5 linked regions of the Macaca mulatta genome follow. The protein of the gene in region 3 interacts with the protein of the main gene of each other region in a pairwise test. Links are inferred from orthologs where the notes say so. Each region holds a gene or a part of one and is shown on either strand. Other genes may lie near its edges.

Evidence for each region.
Region 1: the proteins of FBF1 (region 3) and TUBGCP4 interact in a two-hybrid assay, tested with the Homo sapiens proteins (2 studies listed by BioGRID and IntAct). The two-hybrid records come from large-scale screens. The link is inferred for Macaca mulatta from reciprocal best matches to the Homo sapiens genes FBF1 and TUBGCP4.
Region 2: the proteins of FBF1 (region 3) and USHBP1 interact in binary tests that used the Homo sapiens proteins (3 or more experiments, as listed by UniProt). The two-hybrid records come from large-scale screens. The link is inferred for Macaca mulatta from reciprocal best matches to the Homo sapiens genes FBF1 and USHBP1.
Region 4: the proteins of FBF1 (region 3) and ACCS interact in a two-hybrid assay, tested with the Homo sapiens proteins (2 studies listed by BioGRID and IntAct). The two-hybrid records come from large-scale screens. The link is inferred for Macaca mulatta from reciprocal best matches to the Homo sapiens genes FBF1 and ACCS.
Region 5: the proteins of FBF1 (region 3) and CINP interact in binary tests that used the Homo sapiens proteins (3 or more experiments, as listed by UniProt). The two-hybrid records come from large-scale screens. The link is inferred for Macaca mulatta from reciprocal best matches to the Homo sapiens genes FBF1 and CINP.

The regions. Positions count from the first base shown.
Region 1 is NC_133412.1:20,787,575-20,789,956, forward strand, and holds part of TUBGCP4 (gamma-tubulin complex component 4), read left to right. Parts: intron 1-770; coding exon 771-887; intron 888-1,501; coding exon 1,502-1,641; intron 1,642-2,294; coding exon 2,295-2,307; 3' UTR 2,308-2,382. UniProt on the Homo sapiens protein: Component of the gamma-tubulin ring complex (gTuRC) which mediates microtubule nucleation.
Region 2 is NC_133424.1:17,741,397-17,744,916, forward strand, and holds part of USHBP1 (harmonin-binding protein USHBP1), read right to left. Parts: coding exon 3,417-3,520; intron 1,942-3,416; coding exon 1,692-1,941; intron 1-1,691.
Region 3 is NC_133421.1:85,624,657-85,628,176, forward strand, and holds part of FBF1 (fas-binding factor 1), read right to left. Parts: intron 445-3,520; coding exon 322-444; intron 237-321; coding exon 51-236; intron 1-50. UniProt on the Homo sapiens protein: Keratin-binding protein required for epithelial cell polarization. Involved in apical junction complex (AJC) assembly via its interaction with PARD3. Required for ciliogenesis.
Region 4 is NC_133419.1:21,530,238-21,534,448, reverse strand, and holds the start of ACCS (1-aminocyclopropane-1-carboxylate synthase-like protein 1), read left to right. Parts: upstream 1-1,403; 5' UTR 1,404-1,600; exon of another isoform or gene 1,601-2,097; coding exon of another isoform or gene 2,098-2,196; intron 2,197-2,552; coding exon 2,553-2,840; intron 2,841-4,211. UniProt on the Homo sapiens protein: Does not catalyze the synthesis of 1-aminocyclopropane-1-carboxylate but is capable of catalyzing the deamination of L-vinylglycine.
Region 5 is NC_133412.1:175,709,891-175,712,640, forward strand, and holds the end of CINP (cyclin-dependent kinase 2-interacting protein), read right to left. Parts: intron 2,453-2,750; coding exon 2,323-2,452; intron 994-2,322; coding exon 791-993; 3' UTR 519-790; downstream 1-518. UniProt on the Homo sapiens protein: Component of the DNA replication complex, which interacts with two kinases, CDK2 and CDC7, thereby providing a functional and physical link between CDK2 and CDC7 during firing of the origins of replication.

The sequences.
Region 1 (2,382 bases), on a different chromosome or scaffold from region 3:
AATGTTCTGGTGTTTAGGGCTATTTCTGCTGCCCAGGAAGAGGAAGATATATATTAATAAATGCCATTTCAGAGGGCTGGTTGAAAACAACCAAGAACTACTGTGATGGGTCGATGCTGTCCTTATGTGGCATAGATGTATCCATAGGGAAAAGCCGAGTATCAGAGCAGGTCATCATCATTAAATATTTATTGAGTGCTTACTGTATGCAAGGCACTGGGGATACAAAGAGGTATAATTCATGGCTCTGCCCTTAAGGAGCTCACAATCTAGTTGGAAAAACAAGACATATATATACATACAGAAATCATTAACAACACAGAGGCCTGAACAATTGCCAAGTGGACAACAGTACAGATAATAAAGAAGCAAGAAACGGGGTTCACTAAAGGCTACAGTGGGGAAGGGAGTGCTTCACTGAGAGAGTGGGACTTGAACTGGTATTAAAAAGAAGAGCATCCCAGGCAAAGAGAACAACACTCACAGCTCAGAGGCAGGAACACACTCTGCGGGTCTAAGAAATGAAGAGTTAAATGTGGCTAGAATGGAGGTTTGGTGCGGGGCTGAGAGAGTAATACTCGTGTACGCAGGAAAGGATGCATTTGTTTTACACATATTGTATGTCTGAGGGGCTGGCAGGCCTTGCAAGTGACAGTGTCTATCCTCTCAGATTTGGGAGGTCAGCTATTAATCAGACTGTTCTCCCAAATCTTTAATTTCATGGACGTACCTTCCTTCTTTTCCTAATGCCAACTCTGTTTCCTGGGTAGGTGTTTCACTGCCTGAATGAAATCCTAGATCTCTGTCACAGTTTTTGTTCGCTGGTCAGTCAGAACCTAGGCCCACTGGATGAGCGTGGAGCCGCCCAGCTGAGCATTCTCGTGAAGGTGCGTCTGCCTGGAAGTATGCAGCCTTGCCGAAAGGACAGAGGTGGTTTTGTCAATGGAGAATTCATGATCTTTCCTCTGAGTCAGTAAAGCATTTCCTCAATACACACACGTACAGAAATAAGATATAAAGATAAAAATGTTGGTATCAGTTGATTTTGAATCAGGTAATTACTGTGCTACCTCAGAGTGCTCAAAAATAGTTCAGTCCTGAATAGTTTATTCAGCCCATCAAATAAGCATTGGCTTTGTTCTAACTTCCTCACATCCTACCCCTCTTTACTTCCTTGAACTAACCCCTATCTCACTGAGATAATTATCTGCTTGTAATCAAAACGGGTTCTCCCCAACCCCAGTACTTGACAAAATACATTAACTGGAAACCAGCTACTAAATTCCTACTGGTGAAAGAGTACTTTCATAGGAAGTCATGCATGTATGGATTTGGTACAAGTCATTTTAAGAACTAATAGAAATAGGAATGTGGGAAGGCCAGGTGGTTCTGTAGAATTTTGAGCAAGGCTTTTCCAAGAAACTCCTCCCTCCGCCCCCATCCTCCATATGGAGAGTTGGTGAGCTGAAGTGGAATGACAGCTGAGTCCTTCTCTCTGCAGGGCTTTAGCCGCCAGTCTTCACTCCTATTCAAGATTCTCTCCAGTGTTCGGAATCATCAGATCAACTCAGATTTGGCTCAACTACTGTTACGACTAGATTATAACAAATACTATACCCAGGCTGGTGGAACTCTGGGCAGGTAGGAGCAACCCTTGGGTAACTCAGTAGACTTTTGTGGGTGACTTTTTAATGAGTTGCAGAATTCTAGAGCTGGAAGAAGACTTTAGCCATCATATAGTCCAAATACGCTCATTTTATATAAACAAGGTTTAGAGATAGAGGTGTGACCATCTTTAATAATTTTAATGAAGATTATTTTCTAGTAGAAGTCATCATCATCATCATAAAATACTAAAAAACCTGACAGTGAGATAGGTGTTAAGTCCTTTGCTAGGTTATGTATTGCTATGCTGGGAGGCAGTGTGCCTTCCATTCCCAATTCTGATATGAACTAGCTGTGCAGCCGTGGGCACCCCGCCTTGCTGGTCCCTAGCTTCCACATTGGTGAAAGGAGGGGACCACCCCTTCTAACTCTAAACTTTAAGTGAGATTCAGTGGTAGCTGGCTTCCCAGAGCTCTGTCATTCCCATTCAGAAAATCACTTTATTGTCCTTTCTCTCTCTCAAATGTCTGCAAGTAGACTTTTTTCTAAGCTATTTTAGCAGAAGAGTCAAAAGAAACTCTTGTTTTAAGACGACATTATTTAGACCACAGGTTGTCCTGATTCATATTTCTTTGAAGGCAGTCTTGGGAAAGCATGATACTTAATAAGGCTCTTTTTCTCTTTTGTAGTTTCGGGATGTGAAAAGTTATGGCTCATAAACTGAAATAACAGCCACGTTCCCAAGTTTGTACCAGAAGATTCAAAACAAACATCCCA
Region 2 (3,520 bases), on a different chromosome or scaffold from region 3:
CAGGGAAACTGAGGCCCCAAGAGGCACCCACTGAGGCCTATTCAGACAAAAACTGTGACCTTTGGCTGGGCACGGTGGCTCATGCCTGTAATCCCAGCACTTTGGGAGGCCAAAGTGGGTGGATTACCTGAGGTCAGGAGTTCGAGACCAGCCTGGCCAACATGGCGAAACCCCGTCTCCACAGAAAATACAAAAAATAGCCTGGTGTGGTGGTGCACAACTGTAATCTCAGCTACTCAGGAGGCTGAGGCAGGAGAATCACTTGAACCCGGTGGGGGCAGAGGCTGCAGTGAGCCGAGATAGCGCCACAGCACTTCAGCCTGGGTGAGAGCAAGACTCTGTCTCAAAAAAAAAAAAACAAAAAACAAACTAGGACCTTCACCATGTTCTTTTTTTTTTTTTTTTTTTGGTGAGACGGGGTCTCGCTCTGTCACCCAGGCTGGAGTGCAGTGGCCGGATCTCAGCTCACTGCAAGCTCCGCCTCCCGGGTTTATGCCATTCTCCTGCCTCAGCCTCCCAAGTAGCTGGGACTACAGGTGCCCGCCACCTCGCCCAGCTAGTTTTTTGTATTTTTTTTTTTTTTTTTTTTTTTTTTTTTGAGACGGAGTCTCGCTCTGTCACCCAGGCTGGGGTGCAGTGGCCAGATCTCAGCTCACTGCAAGCTCCGCCTCCCGGGTTCCCGCCATTCTCCTGCCTCAGCCTCCTGAGTAGCTGGGACTACAGGCGCCCGCCACCTCGCCCGGCTAGTTTTTTGTACTTTTTAGTAGAGACGGGGTTTCACCGTGTTAGCCAGGATGGTCTCGAACTCCTGACCTCGTGATCCGCCCGTCTCGGCCTCCCAAAGTGCTGGGATTACAGGCTTGAGCCACCGCGCCCGGCCGTTTTTTGTATTTTTTAGTAGAGACGGGGTTTCACCGGGTTCGCCAGGATCACCATGTTCTTGTGAGGTGGAAATATCTTCCTCCCATAAAAACCACAGCTGTGGCCAGGCGCGGTGGCTCAAGCCTGTAATCCCAGCACTTTGGGAGGCCGAGATGGGCGGATCACAAGGTCGGGAGATCGAGACCATCCTGGCTAACACGGTGAAACCCCGTCTCTACTAAAAAATACAAAAAAACAAAACAAAACAAAACAAAACAAAAAAAAAGTAGCCGGGCGAGGTGGCGGGCTACTGTAGTCCCAGCTACTCGGGAGGCTGAGGCAGGAGAATGGCGTGAACCCGGGAGGCGGAACTTGCAGTGAGCTGAGATCCGGCCACTGCACTCCAGCCCGGGTGACAGAGCGAGACTCCGTCTCAAAAAAAAAAAAAAAAACCACAGCTGTAGAAATGGCATTTCCTAGAGGGCAAGTAGCTTACATAGGTCATAGAGCAGTTCTGTCAAAGCTTCTGGAGTTTCTCCAGCTTGAGAACCTCAAGGTTTTCATGCCAAGCTACAAACCCAAGACTGTGTTCTTTGCTCCCATCTCTTCCCATACGAAGGGCATTTTGGAGAGCCAGATTTGTAGTCTATTGAGACAATGAACCCCAGAAGACAAACTCCTATTAATCCCTCAAAACCCCAGTTCCAATTCTCCTTCACAATGCCTGCACCCAGCCCAGGAGAATTCTCCTTTGCTCCTTGATCCCCCAACCTCAGTAAAGGATTTTGTCCCATCAAGAAAAACTGACAGTGACCACAGCCCATTTGTACCCTTGTGGCCACCAGGTCCTGCTGAATTTGTGTCTTCTCCAGTCGGGGAAGAGCTGGGCCAGACTGGGTCCCCAGAATGGCCTGTACCATGGCTTCTGCACGGGGCACAGTGGGCATGGATGCCAAGGTGGGGCCAGGCTCTGAGAGAATCTTCACTAGAGAACGGCGCTCCTGGAGACGCTGGACATAGCTTCGGAGCTGGAAAGCCACTTCCTGTGGTGTGGGCTTATCCACACTGCTGCCCTCAGGGCTACAGAAAACAGAAGATGTGCCTATGTTAACACCGGCAGGCATAGGTGGGTTAACTTCATGCCAATCCTGGTAGGGTCCATCATCTTCCATCTCACTGGCCACGACGGAGTCTTTGCCATCTGTGGTGGCCCCTGTCACACCAACGTACCCCACTAGGCACCATCTTCCATCAAGACCACATTTTGGTCAGGTGTGGTGATGCACGCCTGTAACCCCAGCACTTTGGGAGGCTGAGGCGGGAGGATTGCTTGAAGCCAGAAGTTTGAGAGCAGCATAGGCAACAGAGTGAGAATCCGTCTTTATAAAATAATTAGCTGGGGCTGGGCACGGTGCCTCACGCCTGTAATCCCAGCACTTTGGGAGGCAGAGGCAAGTGGATCACCTGAGGTCGGGAGTTCGAGACCAGCCTGACCAATATGGAGAAACCCCATCTCTACTGAAAATTCAAAATTAGCCAGGCATGATAGTGGGAGCCTGTAATCCCACCTACTCGGGAGGCTGAGGCAGGAGAATCGCTTGAACCTGGGAGGCGGAGGTTGCAGTGAGCCGAGATCAGACTATTGGACTCCAGCCTGGGTGACAAGAGTGAAAATTCGTCTCAAAACAAAACAAAAACCAGGGTCTTGGCCGGGCGCGGTGGCTCAAGCCTGTAATCCCAGCACTTTGGGAGGCCGAGACGGGCAGATCACGAGGTCAGGAGATCGAGACCATCCTGGCTAACACGGTGAAACCCTGTCTCTACTAAAAAATACAAAAAAATAGCCGGGCGAGGTGGCGGGCGCCTGTAGTCCCAGCTACTCGGGAGGCTGAGGCAGGAGAATGGCGCAAACCCGGGAGGCAGAGCTTGCAGTGAGCTGAGATCCAGCCACTGCACTCCAGCCTGGGCGACAGAGCCAGACTCCGTCTCAAAAAAAAAAAAAAAAAAAAAAAAAAAAAACCAGGGTCTCACTCTGTCACCCAGGCTGGAGTGCAGTGGTGCAATCTCAGCTCACTGCAGCCTCCACCTCCCAGACTCAAGGCTTCCTCCCACCTCAGCCTCCCAAGTAGCTGGGACTACATGGGCACACCCGGCTAATTTATTTGTAGTTTTGGTAGAAAAGGACTTTTGCCATGTTACAAGGGCTGGTCTTGAACTACTGAGCTCAAGCGATCTGCCTGCCTTGGCCTCCTAAAGTGCTGGGATTACAGGCGTGAGCCACTGTGCCCGGCTGTGGGTGCCAGTTTTAACCAGTAGGCATCATTATCCATCTTCACGCCAACTGCAATATCTGTCAACCACCATGCTAACTTTGTCAAGTAGCAACAGGCCAACTGCAGTTGAGCCTCATGTCAACCAACTACAGTGTGCTCCATACCGACCTTGCTGGACACAGCCACACCAAGCCCCCAAACATGGTGAGTTCTGGGAGCCCCATTCCCCAGTCAAGACCCCACTCCTCAACCAGGCCAGTTCCCAGGGTTCCGGGGAGGTACCTTGGCTGTGGATTCTGCCGTGCCCCTGCATCCATGGTGGCCTCCTCTTGTGCCAGCAGCCTCCATGCTTCCTCTTCAGCTGCTTGCAGGTCACTCGTGGGGGC
Region 3 (3,520 bases):
GGGCGCAGGCTACCCCGGGCCCTCCACTGTCCGGAGGCTCTGGGCCCTACCTTGGCCAGGCTGATGAGGGTGCCCTCCCGCTGGGTGTCCACCTGCAGCGCCCGCTCGGCCTCGCGCTCGGCCCGCTCCTTACTCAGCTTTTGCTGCGCGGAGAACTCCGCCCACTCGGCCGCCAGGCGCCGCCGCTCCTCCCCGCACTTGAGCATGACAGACTTCTGCTCCTCCAGCAAGGTGCTCTGGGATGTGGGGGGTGAGGGCACAGGGTGAGTGTCCCTGGGCATAATGGCAGGGGCAGGGGCTGAGTGCAGTGGCTTGACTCACCTTGGCCCGCTCCAGCTCCGCCCTTTCCATGGCCATCTGCTGGGCCGTGACCTTCCTTTGCTCCTCTAGGGCGCGCTGCATGGACTCCGCCTTGGACTGCTCGGCAGTCACCCGCCAGCGTTCCTGTAGGGCCCAGGGCAGGACTGAGAGCGTGGTTCCCACCCTGAGGATCACGCCTGGCCACTCCCTGAGGAGCTGCACGAATCCACCAGTGTCTCCCACGCTATGCCACTGACCTGTCCTTCCCAAAGAGGCACAAAATGAGGGGTGCCTGAGAGGCACTGCCAGGGCCCAGCCCGCATGATTCTGCCCAAGAGGAGGACCCAGCAGGTGCCCTCCCAACCCTCAGGTCTCCAATAGCACCAAGGCTAGCAGCTTGGGAGGGCCAAGGAGCAGCAACATCCCTGCCGCTGAATGGCCAGCAACACACTCTGCCTGTCCTCACCCATCAGCCAAGCAGGCTGAGCACAGGGTGGCCTAACGCTGTGCTGTGGGCCCAGCCACACACAGCACGAGGCAAGAGCTTCACTGTGCCTGACCCCAGGCAGGTGCTTAACACAGTTACCAAATGAAGAGGCGAATCAAAATGGTTCACAACATAAAAGCATCTCTATCTATGTTGATATGGCTACAGGATAGATATCAGCTCAGCAGTGGACATCTCTGACTAGTGAGATATTTTTATTTTCTTCTTTAAAAACTTTTTTTTTTTGGCCAGGCACAGTGGCTAGGGCCTATAATCCCAGCACTTTGGGAAGCCAAGACAGGTGGATCACCTGAGGTCAGGAGTTCAAGACCACCCTGGCCAACATGGTGAAACCCATCTCTACTAAAAATACAAAAATTAGCTGGGTGTGGTGGCAGTTGCCTGTAATCCCAGCAGCTCAGGAGGCTGAGGCAGGAGAATCCCTTCAACCCAGGAGGCGAAGGTTGCAGTGAGCTGAGATCGCACCACTGCACTCCAGCCTGGGTGACAGAGCGAGACTCCATCTCAAAAAAAAAAAAAAAAAAAAAAAGTTTTTGACTGGGCAAGGTGGTTCACGCCTGTAATCCCTGCACTTTGGGAGGCCAAAGGGGGCAGACTATTTGAGTTCAGGAGTTTGAGATCACCCTGGGCAACATGGCAAACCCGTTTCTACAAAAAATACAAAAAATTAGCTGGGTATAGTGGCATGCACCTGTGGTCTCAGCTACTTGGGGGCTGAGGTGGGAAGACTGCTTGAGCCCGGGAGGTTCAAGCTGCTGTGAGCCGAGATCTTGCCACTGTACTCCAGTCTGAGTGACAGTGAGACCCCATCTCCAAAAAAAATTTTTTTTGGCCAGGCGTGGTGTCCCACCTATACTCTCAAAATGTTGGAAGGTCTAAGTGGGTGGATTGCTTGAGCCCAGGAGTTCAAGGCCAGCCTGGGCAACATGGCGAGACCCACATCTCAACAAAAAATACACTATTAGCTGGGTGTGGTGGTGTGTGCCTGTAGTCCCAGCTACTCAGGAAGCTGAGGCAGGAGGATGGCTTGAGCCAAAGAGGTCAGGCTGCAGTGAGCTATGATCACACCACTGCACTCCAGCCTGGGCGACAGAGCAAGACCCTGTCTCTAAAAAAAAAACAATAAAGCGCTTTATGACAGCTGGGGATAAAAAGACAGGTGGGAGGACAAGGAAGGCTTCGAGGAGGTGGTAGCATCAAAAGATTCATTACCGTTGAATTCAGCCTAGAAAGATTTCCACAGGTAAGGAAAAGGATGTGAGCAAAGGCAGGGATTGCAGGTGTGCACCACCACACCCAGTTCATTAAAACAAAATTTAAATGTTTTATTATTTATTTATTTTTTTGAGACAGAGTCTCGTTGTTAACCAGACTGGTGTGCAGTGGTACGATCTCCACTCACTGCAACCTCCGCATCCTGGGTTCAAGCAATTCTCCTGCCTCAGCCTCCCTAATAGCTGGGATTACAGGCATGCACCACCATGCCCGGCTAGTTTTTTAATTTTTAGTAGAGATAGGGTTTCACCATGTTGGTCAGGCTGGTCTCAAACTCCTGACCTCAAGTGATCCACCAGCCTTGGCCTCCCGAAGTGCTGGAATTACAGGCATGAGTCAACTTGCCTGGCATAAAAAAATTTTTTTAGAGGTGGGGTCTTGCTATGGTCTCGCTAGGCTGATCTCAAATTCTTGGGCTTAAGTGATCCTCCTGCATCAGCCTCCCAAGTAGCTGGGATTACAGGCACTGGCCACTGTGCCTGGCTAAGGTAATCATTATTTATTTATTTATTTATTTAATTTATTTTTTTTTTTTGAGACGGAGTCTCGCTGTGTCTCCCAGGCTGGAGTGCAGTGGCGTGATCTCGGCTCACTGCAAGCTCCACCTCCCGGGTTCACGCCATTCTCCCGCCTCAGCCTCCCAAGTAGCTGAGACTACAGGCGCCCGCCACCACGCCCGGCTAGTTTTTTTTTGTATTTTTAGTAGAGACGGGGTTTCACCATGTTAGCCAGGATAGTCTCGATCTCCTGACCTCGTGATCCACCCGCCTCGGCCTCCCAAAGTGCTGGGATTACAGGCTTGAGCCACCGCGCCCGGCCTATTTTTTTTTTTTTTTTTGAGATGGAGTCTCGCTGTCTCCCAGGCTGGAGTGCAGTGGTGCGATCTCGGCTCACTGCAAGCTCCACCTCCCAGGTTCACGTCATTCTCCTGCCTCAGCCTCCCGAGTAGCTGGGACTACAGGCACCCGCCAGCACGCCCGACTAATTTTTTGTATTTTTAGTAGAGACGGTGTTTCACTGTGTTAGCCAGGATGGTCTCGATCTCCTGACATTGTGATCCACCCGCCTTGGCCTCCCAAAGTGCTGGGATTACAGGCGTGAGCCACCGAGCCCAGCCAGGTCATTATTATTTAAATAAAGCATGTGCTTATATATGAAAGGTATCTAGGGAGTTCAAATGTCTCTGTGAGAGCTGAAGAGGCTAGGATGACATTTAATAGGCAAGAGCATCTGTCCCAATGTCAGGGCTCAGCTGATGTGACAGATTCGAGTGTCAGGAAGTGGGAAGTGCAGCTGATGGTTGCAGGGGCTAGACTGTGGAGGCAGCCAAGGCGGCCGAGGGGCTTGTGGTGCTGAGGAGCAGGCAGGGCGTGGTGGGGGCCTGGCCAGGTGGCCCCTGCGTGCTCAGGTGGGCAGTGCTGAGGGCCTGGCCGGGGC
Region 4 (4,211 bases), on a different chromosome or scaffold from region 3:
AGTCTCCCTATGTTGCCTAGGCTGGTTTCAAACTCCTTGGTTCAAGGGATGGTCCCACCTTGTCCTCTCAAAGTGTTGGGATTACAGGCGTGGGCCAGCACGCCTAGCCAGAGTTCAACAAATGTTGCAGCCACATGTGGGAGACCAGGACATGCCTCCCCAAAACATGAAGGATTGTGCTAAAGACAAGCAGCAGCAGATTCAGGAAAGCTCTCTACCCTGGCCCTTTGCCTAAAAGTAGGACACAGGTTTACAAAGACAAAAGGTATCCTGTCCCTCCGTCTACCTGGGAGAACGAAGACTACTTTAGACCCCTACAGCCTGGAGATGGTATCAGAGGAATTTACATTAACAAGCTTGACTAACTGGCCTTTGTTTTTTTTTTTTTGTTTTGTTTTTGTTTTTTGCCGTCTCACAAGTTGCCTCCTGGAGAGACTCGAAGTCCTATTTCTTTGTCTTGTAACTTAAAAAAATTACTGTTCTTTGTTGAAGATGCTATAAAAAATGGAATTCAAAGTCACCTCTTCCAGAGCGACTCATTCCCTTCTATTATGAAATATACATGTCAGTAAATCTGTGTTTGTTTTTCTCTTGTTAATTTGTCTTTTGTAACAGGAGTCTCCCCCAACTAAGAACCTATGAGGGCTAAAGAAAATCCCCTACAAATAAAAGGGGCAGAAATGACAAGCTGCGATGAAAGGCCACAAGGATGCTCACACCCGAATCTAAAAAGCGCTTTGTGGGGGCCGCAGCCAAGCATACTTTGGCCAAGAAATTTCTGTGGCTCTAACCTCCTTTGAAAACTGGAGAACCAAGGCCAGGTGGCAGAGGGAGGTGACTGACCCCACCCGGCCCGGCGGCGGCCCCGCACGCGCAAGCCACCCAGAGTGGAGGTGGGAACCAGCGCTCCGCCCCTTCCTCGCTGAAAGGGGCCCCTTTCCCTTTTCCCGGTCCCGCGGTCAGACCTCGTGTGTGACCCTTAAAGCGTAGGCTCCGCCGAGACTGCACCCGGCCTGAGCGGCGAGGGAACAAACTGCGCCCTGAGCAGGCCAGGAAGCCCGGCCCGGGGCAGACGGCCCTCAAGTTTCCTAGTCCGAGCGCAGGGCGGCGCTGTCCTCACCCGCGCGTAACGAGCCGGACGGAGGGCGTTTACCGGTGGAGGAAACCAACCTGTGATACGCGCCTGCAGAGTGCCAGCTCCTCCAGCTCCGCCAAGTAGGTGGGATCCCCTACTTTGCAGAGGAGGAAGCCGTTCAGGCCTCCCTGTGTGCACTTTGCAAAAGCCTCTGCCCTTCCATCTCGAATCCCTTGGCACCGATCGCACTTCCTTCGCCTGGAAATCTGGAGTCGTCTCTCGCGAGACATCCTCCGCCCTGTAGAAGGCCGTTTCGGTTCTTCGTGCGCGGTAGCCGCCCCACTTGCGGGATTCCAAGGCCTGCTTAATCGGGCGCGGGTGTGTCTGGCTGTGGATTCGCCGCCGTCCCACTGGACGCCTGGAGGCTTGAACCGCGCCGCTCCCAGATCCCAGGCTTTGCTCCCACCCCGGCTTCCGCCCACAGTGCTGTACTTCCTCGGACCTCGGCTGTCGGGAGAGCCGGAGGTGAGCGCTCTCGGGAGAGCCCAGCCAATTTTAAAGAGTCCCCCTGAGAAGACTTTGCAGAGGAAAATTTAACTGTGGGTACCCCCTGAGTTTCTGGTGCACCCGGTGTATCAGAGCTTGTGTTGTGCATCAGGACTGGAAAATTGGCAAGGAGTTACTTACGCTCTAATGACTCATATTTTATTGAACTTTTATCATCAGCCAGGATTTGTTCTAAGTACTTTATTGTCACTAACCCATATATCTGTATCTTCACGGCCAAACCGAGGTGATTACTGTTATATCCACTGTGCAGATGAGGAAACTAAACTGGCTTAGAGAAGTGAAGGAGTTCACACCCGCGGGCAGGAGTAGACCACCCTCATTGGTGTCCACACCTCTTTTCTTCAGGACTGAAGAGGCAGTCACTGGAGCTCTGCCTGGGGTGTCTGCACTTATGGAGACCCCCATTCCTCCCTCCCCTCGGTTCCCACCCACTATCCGCCTCAGAGTACCACATGATCTCATCCTACCCTTTACACCACAAGACCCCCAGGACTCCCAGGCGATGCTCTGCTTTAACTCAAGAAATTTTAACCTGGCATTTGGTAATTGAGGTGAGCAAGGATGGAAGAAGAATGTTGATGACCCTTTAGGCTGCAGAGTGAAAAACTTATGCAGAAGTAGAACACGCTAAAGCAGCAATACATTAAAGTCATATAAATATGGCAAGTGCAGTCCCTGGCACATACTAGGTCCTTAACAGGTTTTTCTTGTTGAAGTCATTGCACATATGGTTACAACTAAGGGACACAGGAAGTGATGAGTGCATAAACCTAAAGGAAGGGAGGTTTTTGCATAAACCTAAAGGAAGGGAATAAGAGAAAGGGAACTCCCATGACTCCAACTCCTTTCTGATGCTTGGTGCTGTGGAAATCCCTTGAGCAGGCCTGTGAATTTTGTCTTTTTGCAGATGTTCACACTTCCTCAAAAGGACTTCAGTGCTCCCACCACCTGTCTGGGCCCCACCTGCCTGCAGGACCTGGGCAGTAGCCATGGGGATGATCTGGAAGGAGAATGCTCCAGAAAACTGGACCAGAAGCTGCCAGAGCTCCCTGGAGTGGGTGATTCTGCCATGCTCTCCCCTGATACCTCCTACCTGTCCTCTAGAGGAAGAATGATTAAATGGTTCTGGGATTCCGCTGAGGAGGGCTACAGGACCTACCACATGGATGAGTATGATGAGAACAAGAACCCCAGTGTGAGTGAAGCTCCCCTCCCACTGGCACCCGAGAGGGAACTGCAGGGTGGGGTACCCTACCTTGACCAATAAGGCAGCATCCAGCCTGCTCTTGTGAGGTTGGAGTTACGGTCCTCTGACCTCCAAGAGGGCTTCTGATGTAGCTTAGGGAGGCTCCAGTGTACTGCCTGGATCAGGAAATGGTCCATTTGGAATACAGGGGACCTTGATTTGTGAGGGAGGAATTCAAGAGCCACACGATGTTCTTCTATGGATTCTGACCCATGACCTGTCAACTGTCCAACTTTAGAGCTAGGGCAGAACTAAGGTTCAGGTCGCAACTGTTTTACTTATAGGTTGTTTATTGCTGAGCTAGTTACTTCACTTCCTTGAATCTTAAATTATCTCTAAAATGAAATAATGACACCAGGCATGGTGGTTCACGCCTGTAATCCCAGCACTTTGGGAGGCTGAGGCAGAGGGAACCCTTGAGGCCAGGAGTTTGAGACCAGCCTGGGCCACATAGCAAGACCCCATCACCACAAAAAAATAAAAATAAAAAAATTAGCAGGGTGTGGTGGTGTGCACCTGTGGTCCCAGCTACTGGGGAGGCTGAGGTGGAAGGATTGCTTGAACCTGGAGGTCAATGCTATAGTGAGCCAAGATCACGCCACTGCATTCTAGCCTGGGCAACGGAGTGAGACCCTGTCTCAAAATAACAGGAAACAGGCCGGGCGTGGTGGCTCACGCCTGTAATCCCAGCACTTTGGGAGGCCGAGACGGGTGGATCATGAGGTCAGGAGATCGAGACCATCCTGGCTAACCCAGTGAAACCCCGTCTCTACTAAAAAATACAAAAAACTAGCCGGGCGAAGTGGCGGGCGCCTGTAGTCCCAGCTACTCGGGAGGCTGAGGCAGGAGAATGGCATGGACCCGGGAGGCGGAGTTTGCAGTGAGCTGAGATCCGGCCACTGCACTCCAGCCTCGGCGACAGAGCGAGACTCCGTCTCAAAAAAAAAAAAAAAAAAAAAAAAAAAAAAAAAAAAACAGGAAACAAACAAAAATAAAATAAAATGGGATAATAATACCTGCTGTGTAGAAGAGTCAAGATTAAATGAGAGCAAGTATATGAAGTTTTTAGCACAGTGCTACTCAATAAATGATAGCTGCTATTAATATTTTCTGTCCCCAATATAAGCTATTCTCATAATGCCTTCAGGAGTCAGAAAGCTGTTACGGTAACCCTTTAATAATCCTTATTTGTTGAGCATCTACCATATAGATGTGAACAGAAACAAAGTTCTGATCCTCATAGAGCTCATATTCTAGTTAGGGAGACAGACAGTGAATGGACAGAGAAAAAATATATATACTATATGGTGGTAAATACTA
Region 5 (2,750 bases), on a different chromosome or scaffold from region 3:
GGTTACATCGCTTGTCACGTCCCCAGTATGCAAACAGCGGCAATTTTTTCGTAGGTTATTTTCATTGTCATGATGTCAAACTTCACTTTAACTCTATGGGATCTTATTATTTAAGATGAAGTCTCACTCTGTCACCCAGGTTGGGCTGCAATGGCTCACAGCAGCCTCTGCCTCCTGATTCAAGCGATTCTTCTGCCTCAGCCTCTCAAGTAGCTGGGATTGCAGGCACGTACCACCATGCCGGTTGATTTTTGTATTTTTAGTAGAGACAGGGTTTCAGTATGTTGGCCAGGCTGGACTCGAACTCCTAACCTCAAGTGATCTGCCCACTTCGGCCTCCCAAAGTGCTGGGATTACAGGCGTGAGCCACTGCACCTGGCCCAAAAACTAATATATTCTCATAAAAACTTCAACAATCAGATAGGCATAAAGTGAAAATATTAAACCAAGGATTTTCTACACAAATGTACAAAGCACGCCTTATTTATAGAAACCAGATCACTCACTCATTCTGCTCAGAAACTCATTGATTTTACTCAGAAGCACCCACGAGTGACGGGTTCCCAGGAGGGGCAGAGGAGGCTGAGCGGCACCACATGGGGCTGGCCGCGGGCTGTGGACATGGGCATGCCTGGAGAGGCCATGGGGCTGGTGACAAGCTCTGGCCAGAAGACCCCAAGAAGGTCTGATCCTGAGGTCTGATCCAGGCCTGCGGCACTGGGTCCTAGGCAGGAGACTGTCTGCCTGGTGAGAAGTGGAAGGAGCCAGTGTCCGCAGCCGTCTCAGGATGTCACAGAGCTCGGTGGCCCGTCTCCAGCAGCATGCTCTCCAGATGCAGCCTGCTGTCGCTCTCCACGTAGGGCTGGTGCAGCCACATGGACAAGTAGCTCAGGGTGAGGTCAGGATCCCTGGTGTGTGCAAGCTCCTTAGCCACTGTGCGCTTCAGGAGCAGCTCCTTCCTGTACATCTCCAAGAGCTTGTGTGAAACCTCATCTGAAAGAAACGTGAGTGTCCCTTAATGGCAGTGATTCAAGAATGTAGTCTTGACTCAGGAAGAACTACATTTTTAACAGCTCTTAATTAAAAACCAGAATTAGCAACAGCACTGAAAGGAAGAAGGGCCCGATGGAGTTTACCACTCTAGCTGGTACAGATTAGTACAATTTGATAACATCGTCAGCAGAGTGAAATAAAAGCGTATATAGGCCAGGCGCGGTGGCCCACGACTGTAATCCCAGCACTGTGGGAGGCCCAAGTGGGTAGGTCACATGAGGTCAGGAGTTTGAGACCAGCCTGGCCAACATGGCAAAACCCTGTCTCTACTAAAAAATACAAAAACTAGGGCGGGCGCGGTGGCTCACACCTGTAATCCCAGCACTTTGGGAGGCCGAGGTGGGTGGATCACGAGGTGAGGAGATCGAGACCATCCTGGCTAACACGGTGAAACCCCGTCTCTACTAAAAACATGAAAAATTAGCCGGACATGGTGGCGGGCGCCTGTAGTCCCAGCTGCTCAGAAGGCTGAGGCAGGAGAATGGCGTGAATCTGGGAGGCGGAGCTTGTGGTGAGCTGAGATTGCGCCACCGCACTCCAGCCAAGACTGCACCACTACACTCCAGCATGCGTGACAGAGCGAGACTCTGTCTCAAAAAAAGTATATATAACCTTTTCTACCTGACCCTTAGGTGACCTACAGTGATTATAAGTAGGAGATTCCCCTCAAACTGACAATATATCACTAAACACATTCCACCAGGTGATTTTCCCCTTTCCTGCCTTATTTAAAAAGTCTCAGATCAACATAAAACAGCTTAGCCCTTGTCTTGAACTAATAAAGCTAAAATAGCCCTTTAAGAAGTACCTCCTAGAGTTTATTAAAGTCATGGCTTTCATTTTTCCCAGTCATCTTCCATGAGGTTGGCTGCAGTGACCTCAATTTGTTTTTTAATTAAAACAAAAAGGAAAAGAAAAACCTCAACAAACCAAAAAAACCCCTTTCTCCCCTTCCCCCCCAAAACGAGAGATTTCTGCTTCCACAGAGGAGGTGGAATTCACTCTGTCCCACTGGTTTTAGAGGCCTAATAACAGCAGCTTGCTTCACGGGTCTCTGATTATGTTTAATATACTCTGCTGATAACCAGGTAATTAAAGCCAAGAAGAAATGTTTATTTTAAGGCGCCTCTGTCTCTTTTCCTCCCGATAGATACTTTCGCATTGAATTTCAAAGCCTTGTCAGCTTCTTAAAGTACCAGATGTAAACGATACTAAATGCCCTTAATAACCTTTACCCTCCTGAAAGTTAACTGAGAAGGAACTACTTACAGAAATGGGTTGTAGGCCAAGTGTGGAACAGAGGGGGTCGTTTAGTCTCCTCCCCATAATGGTAATTTTCTAGTTCACAAATTCCCTTGGTAGTTGAAGACAGCTTTTCCATTTTCACCTGTATTTTGGTCTGAAACATATTCATTTAGAATATGATAATATTTCAAATATCCAGTCTCAGATTCAATACCTATAAGATTTCAAAGCTAAGAAGTGTACATCTATTGTGATAAAAATTCCAATAACTAAACACTGTTAACTCTAAGTACAGCAAATTCCCAGGGAGACGAAGGTGGACAGTTGCTATGATTCCATTAATTTGAATTACTTTGGTAATAAACCCCAGATTTCCAGTCCTAGAGCAAGAAAGGTTTCTGAGTGCCATTTCACTAGGATTTCCAAAGAGCACTGATGTTTTAGGCCCAAAG